2 linked regions of the Astyanax mexicanus genome follow. The protein of the gene in region 1 purifies or fractionates together with the protein of each later gene. This does not show direct contact. Links are inferred from orthologs where the notes say so. Each region holds a gene or a part of one and is shown on either strand. Other genes may lie near its edges. The genes, in order: flii and lrrfip2.

The links.
Region 2: the proteins of flii (region 1) and lrrfip2 purify together in Homo sapiens (affinity purification with mass spectrometry; 3 studies listed by BioGRID and IntAct, with this or other methods). This does not show direct contact. The link is inferred for Astyanax mexicanus from reciprocal best matches to the Homo sapiens genes FLII and LRRFIP2.

What each region holds. Positions count from the first base shown.
Region 1 is NC_064410.1:54,178,861-54,188,382, forward strand, and holds the start of flii (protein flightless-1 homolog), read right to left. Parts: upstream 3,812-9,522; 5' UTR 3,745-3,811; coding exon 3,682-3,744; intron 2,137-3,681; coding exon 2,026-2,136; intron 1,500-2,025; coding exon 1,428-1,499; intron 1,330-1,427; coding exon 1,249-1,329; intron 303-1,248; coding exon 217-302; intron 112-216; coding exon 1-111. Other genes in the region: top3a (DNA topoisomerase 3-alpha), read right to left, coding at 5,849-6,012, 7,227-7,969, 8,474-8,596, 9,370-9,516. UniProt on the Homo sapiens protein: Is a regulator of actin polymerization, required for proper myofibril organization and regulation of the length of sarcomeric thin filaments. It also plays a role in the assembly of cardiomyocyte cell adhesion complexes.
Region 2 is NC_064414.1:2,210,715-2,220,018, forward strand, and holds the start of lrrfip2 (leucine-rich repeat flightless-interacting protein 2), read left to right. Parts: upstream 1-5,614; 5' UTR 5,615-5,863; intron 5,864-9,304. UniProt on the Homo sapiens protein: May function as activator of the canonical Wnt signaling pathway, in association with DVL3, upstream of CTNNB1/beta-catenin.

The sequences.
Region 1 (9,522 bases):
TGGACCAGGCGTCTCATCTGTGGGGGCAGGCTATCCAGCTTATTGTCACTCAGGTCCAGGTACAGCAGATCAGTTAAGTTAATGAACAGCTGATTTGGTATGTTATCAATGCTGGAACAGAACACAGAACAGGACAAATAAGGCACCACCAGGAGACTCAGACCACTGACACAAACTATGTAACATACACTCTACCACACATAGATAGAGCTTTACCTGTTATGGCTGAGGTTAAGGACCAGCATATTTCTGGAATTCTCCAAGTCCCTTGGAATTTCAGATAGTTGGTTGAAGCTCAGATCCTAAAAAATGAGATATATGTGAGGTTTAACTTCTCCCTTTACTGAGAAATCAGCCAAAATCTCCTTGTGGACATGATACAAGTACAAACACGTCCATACACTCTTTTTAATGAGTCAGTTCCACTATTTTATGGTGCACCCATTACTGTCACATAAACAAGTCTCAATAAGTACATATTTCTTATAGTATTTTATCCCAGAAATATTAAAAATCCTAATAATTGTGAAAGTTGACGCTATGATAATTTTAGGAGCATTTTATGCCAATGATATATGTATAATATAATAGTTTGAAAGCTGCAAGTTTTTCAGATCAAAATGGCAAACAATTATGTTTCAACTATTTTTAAAATGCTTAATTTTTGTCTATGTTTATAGGTCTCATGAACGAAATATCTTAACTATCTTAACTAAGTTCGGGTGACATTCATTATTAGAAAAACAATGGTAATATTGTCTCATCAATTTTTTTCTGTTATATTGTACAGTAAATCTCTGCACATGTACAACTTGTGTAATTTCAATTAAGGGGTAATAACAACAAAACAAACCAATCTAGAGCCACCATGCATAAGTACAACACCAAGCCCAATGCCATCCAGTAGGTAGAGGGGTCATGAAGCCCTGCAGCTTTAGGCTCTGCAGCAGTAGAACAGACTTCTCTAGATTGCTGGAGCTCAATAAGACTGAGATAAGTCTGAGTGATATTTTTTGATCTATAATTCATCATCTATAATTAGGACATTATCTCACTAATGCTCTCATGGCTGAATGACATCACATCTGCACAGCAATGTAACTGAAAATCTAATATTTAAGGCCTTTGCGGAGGATAAGCGGCTGTTACTGTGGCAAAGGGAAAACAACCCCTCTATTATAATTTTTAATTTTAAAAGTAACTCAAGAGAAGCTTGAAAGAGTAAAAAAAAACAAAAAAAAAACATACCAATACTGAGAGGTCATCCAACTGAAAGATATCATCTGGAACTCCAGAGTTCTTAAGGTTATTCGCTCTGGCTACAACTGCCTAAACAAAGGATTAACATGTTTGATTACTACAAACACATAACCAGAAACTCATACGTAAGAATAAAGCATATTCTCTATTACTGCACTGTGACTTACCCTCAGGTTTGGAAGGCTTGACAGCTCTCCATGTAGCGTCGTAAGACTGTTGTGACTCACTGACAAATGCTCCTGTTTTCAAACATTAAAAAACAGAAAAAGAGTCCATGGAAATTGATGGTCAAAGTGGCATATTATGTGTCCTTAGGTAGTGGAGTATTTGTGATATTTTAATGAAACTCTGCCTACAGAAACACACATAATTTTTTAATCTATTTAACATACAGACATTGAAAATTGCTTGGGTTGTAAAATAAATTGCAAACATACTAATATTGCCTCCCAGACACCTGTAAATTATATCCAATATCACAGAAGTCAGGATATTATTTGCTGGGCACAGCACACACTATACAAAGCAAGTGTGTGATATACGTACTGAGATTGTGACACAGAGATTTCTAATGGTCATTATAATAGTTTGCCTTCTCTACTTTAGGTAAGCAAAGTGAAGGCTGTCAAGAACATATATAAACATATGGTTGAGGTCATGAATTTTGTTTAATTCTTTGTTGAAGTTTGTTTTTGCAGGGTGGAATGTAAGATAAAACATGTATTCAATCCACACAGGAAATCAAGAAAATCAAGAAATCCTTACCAGTTTCTGGAGCGAGGACAGCTCTTCTGGAAGATAACAAAGCCCAGTTCTGTTGAGTTTGAGCCATCGGAGGCTGGTCATGGATTTTACATGTTCTGGAAAGTAGCCCCCCTAGAGAAATATGACAAAAAATGATGACAACCATGACAGCTCCTGCTTATTAGTCATCACCTCTAGACCAAAGCACACTTGACACATTTATTGCTGGCACACACAGTACTTCTGGACAAACGTCCAAACGTTTGGACACATCAATTCTCATTCAATGTTTCCTTTATTTAATTTATTTAATTTATTTTCTATATTGTAGATTAATATTACAGATATAAAAACAATTTAGGGACACCTGGAATATGTGAACAAGTAAAATAAGTATTTGTCTTCAACAATCCCCTGATCAACTGAGATGGTGATATGGGATGAACTGAAGTTTCACAGCGTGAAGAAAAAGCAGCAACTATTGGTCAGCATCTCCAGAAACTCCTTTAAGATGCTGAGAAAACAATTCCAGGTGATTCTACCTCCTAAAGACACTGATATTAAAATACCAAGAGTGTGCAGATCTGTCCTCAAAGCTTAGAAGAATCTAAGAAGTATCTAAAGTATAAAACATATTCTGGTTTAACCCTTTTTGTGCTCTTGTACAGCTTTGATGTATTCAATATTTAATGTACAATGCAATAAAAATAATAAAAGAAAAGAACACACATTGATTAAGAAAAATGGTGTTTCCTAAACGTTTGACTGGGATTGTACAAAAATCACAACATACGTATCTGCTAAAATATGTTATAAGAAGTCTAAAGGTTGGCACTTGGTATGTCTTCATGACAAAGCTTTTGTTTAACAGCTTTATTAAGCACAGTTATATATATATATATATATATATATATATATATATATATATATATATATATATATATATATATATATATAAACAATATACAATACATATGAACATGAATAAAATTATCATTGGGAGAAATGGAAGAACAGTAGTTAGCTAGCTAGCTAGCTAGTTTAGCTTGTCTCTTAACAACAGCTTGACAGCTGCGTGTGGTTAACGTTAATTGTAGTCAACAAGGACGCAGGGGAGCGTTGTCAGCTGTTTCATGGGCTTGGAAAATAATAAAACATTTGAATTTAGGATAAAATAGGTTACTAAATATATACTTAATGTGTTCAGTGTAATGAAGACATGAAGCAACTTGTTAGTTATGTTAAGCTACGCTGTTTGCCAGCTAGCTAGCTTAGCTAACGTAACCTAGCTACAGGCAGCTAAGCTAAGCCTAGAGTATATAACTAGACATTTAACTACGTAGGTAGCAAGTTACCGCATAAGCATAGGACAGCTCCCTATATAAATATATGAACAGCTAAACGTCATTATTTGACAAGTTATCATTTTAGCTATCCAGCTTTACAATCTATGTTAGCTAAGCTAACTAGCTAACGCTACTTCTCTATACTCGCACTGACAGGCAGCTGGTGTCGGCTAAAGCTAACGCTAGCTAGCTAACGCCCAGTGACTTGTATACTGTTGGCTAAGGAGTGTTTTAACAGATATCATCTAAAAAAATCCACTTTTAAACAAAATATTAAAATAAATAATTAAATAAATAAGTCTGTATGATAATAATTAAGCTCCACACTTACTTTAAAATCGTTTCCACTCAAGTCTACTCCCCTGATAAAGGGGAGAACTCCGGTGGCAGCCATTTCTAATTCAGGATGTAGCAGTCAGCCTATTTCTGGCTGAGTGACTGAGTGTGTGTGTGTGTGTGTGTGTGAAGAAGGGAGGGAGTGTGTGTGTGTGTGTGTGTGTGTGTGACCACAGCAGCAGCAGCAGCAGCCGGTGAGTGAGCAGCCCCACCCTCCCTAAGTTAACTTGGTTCAACCCACACTGACTTCACTCAGTCTTATCTAGGAATGTGAGATTAAAATCACATTCCTACTTGCAAAATATTTTATTCACAAACAATAAATTTCAGACGCAAAACAGAGCTTTCTTGTCTGTTTAACTGAGTTTAATTCACTTCTCCAATCTTTAAGTAAAAAAAACGTAAGTACTTCTGATATTATGATTTTCTTTATAATGATGATCTATCATATATTATACCGCAGATAGTTCTGACCCTGCAATGTGATTGGCTGAGAGATGTTCTATGAGTGCCGTTATCAGCTGGCAATGCACTGTAACCAAAGCTCTTTATGTAATATTACTCCACAACATACAGGTAACCTAGCAACAATGCAGCGCTTACAAGCCAAACAGCAAAGCTACAAACAGAGCAGCAATGGAACTTTTGTAAATTTATAAACTTTTGCAGTGTTTATAACCAAACAGATCATATTTTCTCTTCCTTTTTAAAGTGGCAGTCTGTATTATTATGTTTCTATACTGAAAGCAGAAGCATTTCTGAGTGGAGAAGGAACACAATATTGTGTTTAATGGCAACATGACCAGTGTGCTGGAATGTCCGTCCCTGTCAGCTTGCTTTTTGCGGGAGTTCTTCTGGCCACATCACCCGTCTTTACCTACTTACTGCACATGTACAGCCTCTGAAAGAGGATCCGGCTCTGTTTTACTGAACGCAAGCAGCTGGTGGAGCAATGGAGACTCCAGAAGAGGAAACTCAGAGCTCAGGACCTCATTCACCCATAGTAAAAGTAAAGTGTGTAGGTGAAGGAAAGTTTCTGACTGAGCGCTCTCTCTCTGACTGAACATAACCTGGAATCGGATTCATCCGCTCTGGAAGGAGACCGCATAACACCCTTCCAGTTGAAAATGATTTTTCTGCATACTCAGTGCAATTATCCACTTTTTACCAGAGTGGGCCCTAAATCCTGAAATGTACGAACATCAGCTTTAATTCAAAACTTTTAATAAACAGCGATAATAAAACTGTGAAGCATGCTAGGCTTGTCCCCAAAGGTTTATTATTGCTGATGACAACTATTATGCAATTTGACACATCTCTATTTTCATTTTACAGAACTCTTGGAGACAAAACAATTGGTCACTTCCTTATACATTTTGTATTTGAAAAGTTTTCCCAGTTTCACTCCAAAAAGCAATTATTATGTAAGATAAAAAAAAATTAAAATAAAGAATAATAGTTTTATTAATATATATCAAGATAAAACAAACACATAAACAACTAAAAAGTAGAAGCAAGATGAAACCCTGAGTGTAAGTGCATAAGGCAATTTTCCTGTAGCAGATTGGACGAGTGCATACTTCGTTTTTCTATTTATCGTGTATAATGATGAGTGTGTAATTGTAGATTTTCTTGTATATATTCTTGCACTTTTTGTATTACTGTACTGTATTGTGTACCTGCTTACTTTCCTTCACAATCAAACAATTGATCGATAAATAAATGAATAAAAGAATAAATAAAGACCTTTTTTTGGAAAATTAACAATAAAAAAAATATATAAAAAAAATAAAATTACATTACCCAGTGAAATGGTATTGTTTTTAAATTTGGAAGTAAACTCTTTTTCTCTCCCCTCTCTGTTATTAAAATAAAAGTCAATAGAATGAACACAGTGATTCTGGGGCTGTTTTACACCTTTAATATATCAATATGTTTGAAATTATCCCAGTTTGGTTCAGGTTGGTAAATCTGGTTAAAAACACAAAACGAACATGCGGTTAACCATTTTTTTTCTATTTACATTTACTGTAATAAAATAATTCCGTTATACAATTGATGACAGCAATTACTTTGTAAATTTTATATTTTATTCTGTAAAAGTTTTAAAACAAAGATAAATTTACAAACATTAGTGACTCAGTGGACAGACTGCTTCTGTCTCACCGGCCCTGTGGACAGGTGGTCCGTGTGTGGCCTGGCTGATGACAAATTCCACAAGTCCTCGGCCTTTTGGCAGCAGGAGCTTTACTTGAAGAAACTCCAGTCTTCTTACTGCCATTCCACGTACTGTTGTCTCCTCCACCTGTTGTGCTTCTTACAGCAGCTAAGAAAAATTAAAAATACATTAAATATGGAACAGTATGTAAATGCAGTTTAATCACTGTGTTACTGTGTGTTCCTCACTGGAAGTTTTCAGTACTATAAATATGGACCAAAGTCTGAATCAAGATTGTCCTGGTTATCAAATTGTAACATTTTGGTTAGGTTAGTTTTGCTTTCACACTGCAGTTTAATAAGCACACTTATGGACATTCTTCCGTCATCCCCTATGCAGGCTGGGTACACTTATACTTGACACTCTTCAGTATGTAGGAGTAAAACTGCAGTTGACTTTAAGGTGTTGTGCCAAATTGTACCTCCCTCCCTGGAATGAAAAAAACAGTTTACCCTCCGATTCCTTTTTTAATTCTGCTTATAAATTAGGTTTAATATATATTTACAGTAGATACAGATATCGCCAGGGTAATTTCAGAATGAGATTTCAGACTTTTTCTTCTTCTATTGTTTAATGCATGTCAATAGCCAACAACTTCTTGTAATTGGTCCAAAAAAATAAAACTATCCAAAATATTGTTTTCTTACTGACAAATCCAGACAAATTTTGGTCAATTGTGGTTTGTGGCTTCAAAGAACCAAAATTAGATCTGACCAAAAGAGAGGCCTCAGTCCGATTCAATTTAACCATGTTTTAATTGATCTGCAGCGCAAAATAACTTTTCTAGGTTATTTAGATGTTTGGACCAATTACACAAATTTGAGGAAGGCTATTGAGCAATAGATCAGGAAAAATCAGTTTAGTGTGCAACAGGCTGCACAGGTGACTCCTTCATCTAACTTATATTATCCCTTAATTATAAACAGAAAAAAGGAAACTGAGGGTTACTTTTTTACGGTTATTCTGATGAGTGAAGTGTATGTGCTTGAAGGGGACCGATTTTGGCTGGGAGGCAGAATTATAATAGACAGCATTACTTACTGAATGGACAGCATTATAACTGTTAAGTATAAATAAATGCAGCACAGGTAAGTGGGGATAACAGGATGTAGCAAAGTTTTTATCGTGCTTATTAGTGCTGCAGTGTGAAACCAAAACTAACTGGACTAAACTAATATAAAATAATAAACATATATCAAAGACTTACAGGTGTGAGAACACCCTTAAGTTGCATCAGAATAGGTTTTTAGAATTGATTTTAGTGAACATTAACAATATTATGCTGTACACATGAATATCTCCTTGTCATTTAATCCTAGTACCTGGAGGCACGTTTTCATCCGCCCATTGAAAGAAGCCACACTGCTGATCCCGTGGTTTCCCGCAGGTATGGAACGCTCTTCCCTTGTTTGGCCCATCTTTCATGACGGTTCTTTGGACAGCAGGTTCGTTACAGTTACACATCGCCTCTCCTCCTGTATCTCCTGCTGCTCCTCTGCTGCCATGCCTCTCCTGAGGCCCATTTCCAAATCCAACAGAAGGTCTTGAAGGTTGAAAACTTTGACCAGCTGGTCCTCTGCTCCCTGCTGACCCGTGCTGCTCAGCCGACTCATCCGCCCACAGGAAGAACTTACAGTTCCCCGTATTGCACTTGTAGAACTGACGGCCTTGGTTGGGACCCTCTTTCCGAACTGTGAGGAGAAGCGCGTCCACTCCACAGTTACACACCACAGCATTGCTCTGGTCAGAAGACGGCAGCTGCATGGGCCTTGACTGTGCGGGATTGGTCAGTGGGGGTCTGCTACTGTCTGCGCTGGGTCTGGGAGGTGGAGGTCTGTTCTCAGACCTGGACTGAAGTGCTGTATTATTGTTTCTAGGTGCATTTGGTTGACGTGAAGCTGTACGTTGAATAACTTGAATGCCAGAATCTCCTCCACTGCCGCCTCCACGGAGATACTTCAGATTCAAAACCTCTCTTAGGGTCTCATCACAGCCACCGATGCAGCCGACAAACTCGAGATCCATCCCTGGAGGAAGACTTCCCCTCTTGAACTTGAACTTCAGCCTGGAAAATATTTTAAAAAGCCACTTTGGGTGATTTCACCTTATTTTTATTTGGGAGAATCATAAAAAAGTAAGTATTTTACACTATGAGTGTGCAATTTCATATTGTACCAATATTATTGTTTTTTCTTTATATTTGCGATAACAATGATATTTTGTCTTAAAAGCAGTCTCTATTTTCTTTGCATGCACAAAATATACTGTTACTAATACACTTTAGTAATGTATTAATTTTTTACTAACATTATTATTATTAATATTATGTTACATAATTTATTTTTACACTATTAATATTTTATACAAAATAATTCTTGCTAAGTTGCTACTGTTTACTTTGGTTTCTACTGAGTGTTTCAAATGTTTGTGTGTAAATGACACTTTACATTAAGAAACACTATCATTAAATTTTGTTGCTGCAGTATACTGTAGAAATGTAGTGTTTTTTCACATCGCAAAAGTGTTCAAATATCATGATATTATTTTAGACACTAGTCATGTTTCTTACATGTGGACAGGATGTGGGCGACACGTTGGACAGACGCTGTCATCTCTGCTGACCTCCAGCACTGTATCTGGAAACCACACTGCTGCCTTACAGGCTGGGTAGCCCAGACACGACAGAAACTTCCTGCAGAGAGTCGGTGAAAGAGTGTGATGACAAAGGAAATAGCATACAGAGCAAAAAAGAGAACAACCACCTCAGCAGAATTTCAACTTCACATCTTCCTACAAAGTGCTAACACTCACTATTAACATGCTTCAGAGATTACACCATACGCCAAGCAGTGGCTGCAATTCAGTGTTCTTTAAAATGAGCTTAAGTAGCATGCTTCAAACTATGCAGGGATAACTTTCACTTTGTTGACAAATTCTAAGTAGGGCTGTGTGATCTGACCAAAAATCCACATTGTGATAACGGTATAGGTCATGACAAAGCCCTTTTTTATCAACTTTTTTTTTTTTAAATCAGCTAACCACACAAAACACTTATTACATACTGAATTACGCTCAGCAAATAAAAGTATGTTTTCATATTTTATTATATTTCTCATTTTATACTTTTCACTTTTACTTTTCAACTTAAATGAAATTGCGCACCGAACTTCCACAGACCAGTATGGAGCTTTGGCGCATCACCCAGGCAACAAAAAGGCTGTTGTATTTTGCAACAATATAGACAATAGAGCGCAACACTAAACAAAAGACATTTTTCTGTCTTCAATACCAATTCTTTTGTCCTGTCGCACAGCCCTAGTTCTGAGGAATTCATAAATAATAAAATATTCTCAAAAATGTAATAACTAAACCTATAACCCAGGGGCAAATTACTTTATGTGGATGTCAGATTCAGCGTTTTATAATGATTGATACTGATATGCGTTACCTTTAATATATACATACCCTGTGCTGTCCTTCCTCTTTCTTAAAACCATGTCCCGGTTGCACTGCGGACACTTCCGTACTGGAAGAGGCATCTCTAATTCTTGTTCCTCCTGCTCGGTATACTCCTGGGCCTGGCCCAAATAATTGGACAGTGCTTCATCCAATCTGAGG
Region 2 (9,304 bases), on another chromosome or scaffold:
TATATATATATATATATATAATGTAAAAGTGTAAAAAGTTTCCTTCCGGTCATTTTGGATAATTTCTTTTGGTTCGTTCTTTAAGACATTTCTGACAGTTTGTGTGTTTAAACTATGTAGTAAACTAAAAATCTACAAAATTGAGATACTTGAGATAATTGAGATCCTTATTGGACAGCATATGAATATGAAATTTGGTTTAATATGGTTATAAACAGTATATTTTATATTATTCTTTTATTTTTTGAAAAAGCACATGGTCTTTTTTAGTCAGCCCATTATATTTCAATAAGAGGGCAAATAAATAACTAGGATTTTTTAGGGTCTTTAGAAAGAGAGCAGGTGCGATTAATTATTTAATTATATAAACTGACGTTGGTTAATCTGAACATCATGTTAATATATGTTATTAATAAGAATAGTAAAATACGTCTTACAGACTAAAAGAACTATTCTTCCTTTTGAACGTTAGTTAAATTAAGAAGCTACCAATCTGTCACTAAACAAAATGCATTTACTTATACCTGGTACAAATACAGCACTAACTTTTGCATTTAAATAAACCATTCTTTGTTTTATCTATTTATCATGTAAGCTAGTTTTAGTAGTTTTCACAGATAATGTTAATTAAACTAAGTTAGAACCTGAGTAATAATAACAGACGCAGCTAACGCTGGTTAGCTAAATAAGCTAACCTTTAGTTTTGAGGTGATTTTGACTCGCTGGACGCAGAGAAAAGCTTTAAACCTCAGTGAAACACAGTAATCCTGATTATCATATAAATAAACAGAGTAATTACCGGTTAAACAGCAGATTTCTCCCAGTCAGAGAGCGAACAGCACAGTCCCCATAACACGCTGTGACTCTCCACAGCTTCCACCAATGTCAACCCTCTACCGGAACTGTCCGCCGATTTCAAAATAAGAGTTCATACCCAAAAATAAAGATAAAAAGATTGTATTACAAAGTGATTAAAATTATATAAATAAATAACAATTAAGAACAATCATAGTAGTGTTTATGAGTTCAAATGATTTATATATACCTGAAAGGATATAAGTGGAAAAATTTAATAAATCATGTAAAAACAAATGTGTTGCCTTACGACTTACGGCTTGGAAACGAGATAATTAAGATAAATAAGGTGTGTGAATGAGATAATTAAGTCGTAGCCAGATATTAATAATGCAATAGTGTAATCTAGTTCCCACATATTAGGATCTCTTTTCCACGGCTTAATTATGAGTTCTTTTTTACATGATAATTTGAGGGGAAAGAAAATTAGGTGACCCTCTTATCAGGATCTTTTTCCACCTATTTAAAATCCCATTTCATTTTCCAACTAGTATCCTTTTGGGGACATTTTTGTTAAGCTTAAATATTCGTATATTGCGTAAAAAGAGTTTAATAATTAGTAAAATGTTTCAAATCACTGTCTGGAAAAATGACATGGGATTACAGGGGTGAAATAAAAATACTGCGTGTTAAATAACTCGACTCAAGAATGTCAATAATTAACTAATTCGATTTATAAAAATCTCAGGTGTGTTTTTGCCAGCTGCATTACCTGCTCTGGACTTTAGATGGCACCAATACGCCATTTACTATTATCACTATTATTCACTACTATACTCAGACCAGAGTACCATTTAAAACGTGTATTAAAACGGTGCTTGACAGCCTGTCTGTAGCATAAACAGCTGACCTTATTTATATGAGACATACTCATTTTTTTGTACCTCTGAGAATAAAAAAATAAATGGAGACTATATCACTATATCATCATTGGAAGTGTGGGAAATTAGTTTTTAAAAACATTTTCTCAGTCACATTTACAAGCAAGTGGCACACTCAGTTATATACAGTATATACACTGATACAATCAACACACGCTCTTCTCCAACTCCAGTCATTAGTGTGTTACAGTTGTGTGTTTTTAATAATTTATGAATTACTGGGACTGTAACAGAGCTACAGAGAATATGGTGCCCCCCACAACCAAAGTTTGTTGATGTAGCACCACCGATTTTCCTAAACCAGTAATTATTATTGATCAGTAATCAGCAGTATTGTGACTGGAGGTCTATGTGGTGCTTCCTTAGTTCTGGAGGGATCTGGGTGTTTTTCAATTCCAAGAATGTAAAGAATGGATTGAAGGAACTGAAGAAAATTCTTGCCAAGTTACCTTACAAGAATGAACTCGTTAAAAAATGGAGGACACACCTATAAGGGTTTGAGGTGTTAATGCTCCAAAGCAAACATTTCGACAACCGAAGCGCCTCTTCTTTCTTCAGAAAGTATATACAGTCCTGTAAATGATAAATATAGTATAAGAACTCACAAGAACAAGAAGAAGGGTCTGTTATGTATGCCATGCACAAGATCATACAGAAACATATGCGGCCTTCAGGAGGTTTGCCTTCCAGCACTGGGGTCCTGGGTTCATCTGGATGGAGTTTCCATGTTGATTAAAATAAGATTGGTATACTCCAAATTGTTATGGTGTGTATATGTATGGAGTCATAATTATGAATGTATGTATGTATGTATGACTTTATACCCAGATATGTCCTGGTTCAGCCCCTCAGTGCAGAGTGCAGTCCTCCAGGTGGACTGTTGTTTCTGGTTGAGAGTATGCTGTGCGTGATTGGCTACCGCTTCCCACTGGTGTTAATGAGTGTAAATGATTGTATGTACCATGTAATTGTAAGCATCCTTTCGGTGCCTATAGAGGCAAAAAGGTGCTATGTAAGTGTGCAAGTAAGTGAGTAGTAAATGTTTTTTAAGGGACGTTCATGCATTTTTCAACAAGTCATTAATAAACCACATGCTGCACACATTACAGGAGCATGGCTGTGAAAGAACAGGGTATGGGTATTGGACTGGCCTGCCTGCAGTTTGCATTTTTCATACTGTTGCATACTGTCTATAGAACCATGGTAACATGAAAATGACTTTAGCTTTGTTTATCTCAATCTGGATCCACATACTGCATTGATCCTAAATAGGAATATGAGTGAAACCCACACAGTCCAGAAGGATCAGTTACAGAGTCAGCTGAGAGTACTATTACAGGGTTAAGCCCCTCCTGTTCTGACAGAACTTTTCTATTAAAGACTGATTTGCTAGTGTTCCCTGACAACTGTGATCTAATAGTTAGACATGCCGGCCCTCTACAGATTACCTACAGTATGCATGATTACAGTACAAGTGCACTGTCATAGTTTATAAACACTTTGTGACAATTTCTTGACATAATGTTGTCCCGTGACTTTTGGAATGCACTAATCTGAATATAGGGCACATTTGGGTTCCTTCTGATTTGTGGGACATTGTAGAACATAGAAACACAAACTGTTCTCTACTACACAAAACATCCTACTTTTGTCTCAATAAATAAATACTAACGTTTTTCAGAATAAAATATTTAGCTTTTTTTTATGTTTTTTTTCTAAATCATCTGATTTAGAAAAAATAAGAGAGGAAACAACTACTTTCTTACAAAGCTGCTGGTCAGATCTTCCTTCCAGTTAAAATTAAATATTATATTTGACTGCCATTTGTAATATAAATCTGATTCTTCCTTTAACTTATATTGTGTGTTTTGAGAGTTTTTTTTTTAACTTTGGGGTCAGCAGAGGAAAATTTCAAGTCCCTTTAGTTTCCTCAGCACTTACAGAGATGTCACCAGTTGAGCAACTGGCACACTCAGCACGGCTAAAGCATGAATATCAACCCAGGAACAAAATTACGGGCTGTCAGCTCCCAACCGGAAGACTAACTATCTATAAAGAAGGATGGCCAGTCAGCACCTTTCAGTGGAAGACCCCAGCCTGGGGAGGGGGCAGTAATGAGGTCACTAGGGCACTCCAAATGAAGGATTCATTATTGGTGCTGAAGCATGGTGACTTCACGAGTTCAGCATCCAGAGACAAATACAGTGGGGCAAATGTTGTGTGGTTTAACAGAGTTTACACTCTGTTGATTTCTCTTTCACTTCTGCATGTCTTCACACACCTCCCTGATGTTCTACATGTGTTAAAACACATAAACAACATCCATATATACGTCACCTTGCCACCGTCACCTTAGTTTGTGAGAAACCTGGACTATAGATTGGAACTGTACTATACTGTTTTAAAAATGTATAACAATACAAGTTTGTAAAAATGTCTATCTTTAGCTGCCATTTAAAACTGATGCCATTGTTTAGTGTCATTTGGCAAACTGTTCCATGTAATTGAAGCATTCTTAATATAATTTATTATTTATTTTTTCATGATTTATTTTTATGATTTATGATATAATGTATTATTTTTATGACACCCAGTAGTCAAAAAAAAAAAAATACATCATGCTGCTCGCCATCAGCTGCCGGAGTCAGAGAGAGCACAGTTGGTCATGTTCTATCTGTGTACAGTAGATGGCGCTCTCTCCCCACAGCACTCCCATTCTGTCTGTTACAAGGTAACGTATCGGAGGAGGCGTGTGCTAATAATAGGCATTGCTATTATTAGTGGGAGTGCAGCTGAGTGGGTGGGGTAATCTGCATAGGTAAATTGGGAAGAATGTGAGAAAAAAATCTATAATATATTATTATTATTATTATTATTATTATTTATTTATTATTAGCAGTAGTAGTTTATATTTTATGTTTAGGTTTATTAATGTGTTGATGCCCTTTTTTGTTGTGGTGTCCAACTCAGCATCCGTTCTCTTATCACTCCGGGGACATTAGTTCCCACAGAAAGCAGAATGAACACACACACACACACACACACACACACACACACACACACTTCCGGACAAACGGGGTATCTTTCCCTGGCATCTGAGACAGAGAGACTGACTGGGTGAGGAAGGAGGAGGATCTCCTGCACAGACATGTTCAGCTGCTCCTGCACCTCCACAAAGTCCTACTGAGTCCCAGTAAAACCAGCGAGATCCTGCATACTGGGAGAGGAAGGAGCTGAGAGAATAAAGATAAATAAAGAGAGGGATACAGATCCACCCATTCATGCTTTTTTTATATTGTTAAAATGAGGTTTTATCCTAGCCCTAACCATTCTCAGGGAGATTGGTACAGCACTGCAGTCTAAGTCTTACTCTAGAGAAAGAGAGGGGAGTTTCTTTTGGGAGAGAGACAAAGAAGAGGGAGAGAAATAAAGAGAAAGGGAGAAAGGGAAGAAAGAGAGAGAGGAGAGAGAGAGAAAAAGAGAGAAGAGAGAAATACATAAATAGACAGGAGTTTGTTTCTTTTGGGAGGGAGAAAAAAGAAAGAGAAAGAAAAAATGTGCATATTGTGCATATTGAGAAAATGACTGACGTCAGCCATACAGACCGATAGGAAGAAAGAGATATAAAGAGATAGAGAAACAGATTGAAAGAAAGAGAGAAAAAGAAAGAGACAGAAAGAGAGGTGAGAGTGAAATAGACAGAAAGAAAGAAAAAAGAAAGAGAGGAATGGAGAGAAAGAAAGAGAACTTTGAAGAAAGAGATAAATAGAAAAAATAAGGAGAGGAGAAATAGAGATAGATAGAAAGAAAGAGAGAGGGAAAGAGAAAGAAACAGCAGTTTCTTTTGGGAGTCTGACGCGACCAGCAGTGTCAGTTTCTGCTGTCCGTCAAACACACACACACACACACCCTCTCCCATACCACACACACTGCTGCTGGAGCGAACAGGCCAGCAGTAGCTCCGGTTAGCAGCAGCAGCAGCTCGGTATAGCGGTGTGTTTGGAGCGGCGCTGGGTTGACCCGCTGTGGCCGCGGCGGCGGCGCTCTTTGTGGGATCTGGGGTGACTTTGCGCTTTTTAGGAGCGCTGTGGACCGAACCACGCGATCCGGCGGGAATCGGAGAAAAGGTAAATCCTCTAGTTTTAATCAGTGAAGCAGCTAAAAGACTGAGTCCTGTTCCTGAATGGATTTAGGGCGGCATGGAAAACCTAATCTAACCCAGCGCTGCTTCATTTTCTTCCTTAGCCTAGCCTTAGCCGGCTAGCTCTATTTATATTCCAGCTGCTGTGCTAAGCTAAGCTAGCTAACTAGGATAGCTCCCGGTGTACCAGCCGGAGATTCGGCTAATAGCGCTTAAAAACTCCCCCGGCTGACAGTGCGGGGAGCGGGCGTGTTGTTTCAGTTCGGGCCGGGCGGTTTGGGCTTGCGGTTCAGGCTGAGTCGGGCCGTGTGCTGGAGTTTCTCCTCCAGGGTTTCAGGGAGAGCTGCCCGCTTTTCCGAGCGCGGTGTTGTGTCTAGTTGTGCTACCCTGTCAAACCGTGCTACAATAGGGTGCATTTTACTGTACAAATACAAAAAAGGACTATATTAGATTATGTTACCAATAGAAGTCCCAGTAGATGTGGGTTGGTATAATTGGATATAATAAGTTATAAAAATATACATATATTTAAATAATAATTGTTATTGTATTAATTAATATTAATTAGTTATTAGTTAATATCATTTCATTTTACACTTTTGTGCAATGACAGTGTGAGTCCAGGCTGTTTAAAGCACAAAAAAGCCCCCAAAACAGATTTATTATTTAAAGAAACACAAGAAATTATTAGAAAGTATTGGTCAGCGCATGCGCAGTACTTTTAGAAAGCACGTATCGGAAGGTAGCAGAATTCGACAGAACACTGGTCCCAGTGAAGCTCCAGAAATGCTAGCGGGCTATATTTAGCGCGCCTCTCGCTCGCGCTCTGATAGCTAACGCTAACCGCTCGCTTCTGACATGTCAAAAATTTAGCTAAGCTAAGCTAAGCTATGAGTGTGTGTTTAAAAAAGTGATTAAATACCTAAATTACACATTACAACATATTTATTTAGAGTTTTACGATTAAACTGAACCCTCTGATTAAACCAGAACCGTTAAAGTTTTCTTTTAAAGTATCTTTTAGAGGTTTTTATTGTTTTTAGCTGTCTATAGTCGGTAAAAAAGCCCCACCTCACATTAAGACAGCAGTTAACGCTAAACTAGCTTTAACTCGTTTTATATATCAAGTGTACAGATATTTTACACTTTTACAGATATTTCAGAAGCTGAAATGTTTGCATTTGTGGCTAAACTTAAAATTTATAATCATGTAATCTATATATATTCTCTTACAGAAGCATTTAGTTAGGAATAACTTTCAAAAACAAGACTATAGAGTGCATAATTTATAATATTATTATTATTGTAACAAAACAAACTGTAAACTGTATAGTTACATGGCTAAGTTGTGAAAAGTGTGGGCTGCAATAAAAAATAATTTTACACTAATGAAGAAATACAGCCCAAGCCTAGAAACTGTACACACTTATACATGAATAAATATAATTTAAGCTGAACCCCATTATTTTATTTTACTTCATATATTCAGTTATAAAACTTTATTTTTTTTTTTTAGCTAAGGTAGTGTTAGCTGGTTCTGTGTTTAAATACCTAAATTACACATAAAACCATACTTATTTATCTAGCCTAATGTTTTTATTATTACATGGGCTCTGTGATTAATCAAATCTAGCAAAGTTTTCCCTTAAGGTGTCTAGTTAGCTTTTTTTTCTAGTTAGCTGTTAAATGCTAAGGGTATGGAAAAGGCTAAAAACGTTAATGCATCCCAAGTCAAGAAACTTAATATTTAGTTATTAAAGTATTTGCTGTTTTATTTCATATGTTTTTGGTTGTGTTTTAGATAAAATAGAATATTTCCCTATGAGGCGTTAGATTGCTCTTTCTCAGTTTTCACTGTCTACCTCAGGGTTAAGTTAATAATTGCAGAAAGCGATATTACTCTTATTTTAACAACCTTTTATGGTATCGATATAGCAATAATAAAAAAGCATAATACAGCATTTATGCCCTGTTATAGTTATTCGATATCTTAATTATTTAAATGTTTGTGTGTTTTTTTTGTTTTTTTAAACAAAGTTGACATAGTGACTCTTTCACATTTAATAGGCATTATTGAAGTTAACAAAATTTATTGAGGTTCAATTATTATATATTGTATGACAGGGTCTGTGTTTATAGTATTGCTGAATAATCTATGTTTTAGGTATTTATTTAACTGAATCTGTAATTCTGTAGAATAATGCACAATATTTCGCAGTGGTGGTAATGGAAACCAGTGGTTGTGATGTCCGTTACCACTTGGTTAACCATTTAATTGTCCGTAAACATTTAAAGTGCTGTAACACAGGCCAAATAATACCAACGTTTTGAAGGATGCCGTGTAGCTGTTGTCATATTTGTTTTTTGTCCCGTAATGCTGAACCTGGCGCCTGGCCGTAGCGAATGCCACACAGTTGATTAATTCTCTTACATATAGCAGCTCTCTCATCCAGAAAGACAGATGCCAGTAGCGGGCACCGGCCCCATGGACCAACTTCACTCAAGTGCTTCCAGAGAACAGCTGTAGCAGCGGGACGTTCTGTGCCCTGATAGACCTCCTGCACCACAGCAAGCTTTACTGTAGATAAGAGCCCTGCAGGACTAGGGCAGCACCAAAACAAAAAAGTTGTAAAGATGTTATATAAACTATGGGGCAGTTTCCCAATCAGGGATTATGCCTGGTATTGCAATAGACAGCATTTGAATAGAGATTTTCCATTGAAAGGAAAATATAATCTAGACCTTTGCTTAAAAAAAAGTCTTCCTTGAACAATGGAGACTCCACTAAAGCATTTGGTGCTGATACCAGCCTGATATCAGTATCCTCGTAGGCCCAATAAAATATCAGACTTTCAGTTTGGCCGAGGTAATTTGCCTGGTTGTATAAAAAGTTTGCTTATTAAAATACACCACCATGTCATACTGTATCATACAGTACAGTAGATGGAACAGTAAACAAATGTTGTTTTGGTTAGGTGGACCAAAATACAGGTAAAGTGAATTTCTGCACTACTGGGTAGACCTGCCTCTAATGTTCTGTACTGTGTAGAACGGGAATTGAAATGCCATCTTCCATATGGTAGCTCACTGCCAGGTGCTGGTACCCCTTGTTTTGGAGTGTAACTATTCCTCTTATAACAAAAGAGATTAGAGTACCTGTGTTTCAGTAAACATATCGATATTGGGCACCACGTATCAATAATATATCTCAATGAAAATCATGAACAAGATCACGATAACGATATTTTGTTCCACCCTTACATCATTTTCTACTGCATTTACTACTCTTTATGTGTTCTAATACTTTTGCTCCCTCCATATTTTGTTTATATATTTGTTTATTTGCTTTAATTTTAATACATTAAACAAGTAAGTAGTGATTTTAATAATGTGCTATCTGTGGGGGAAAAAAGCTTTGGGGGAGTTA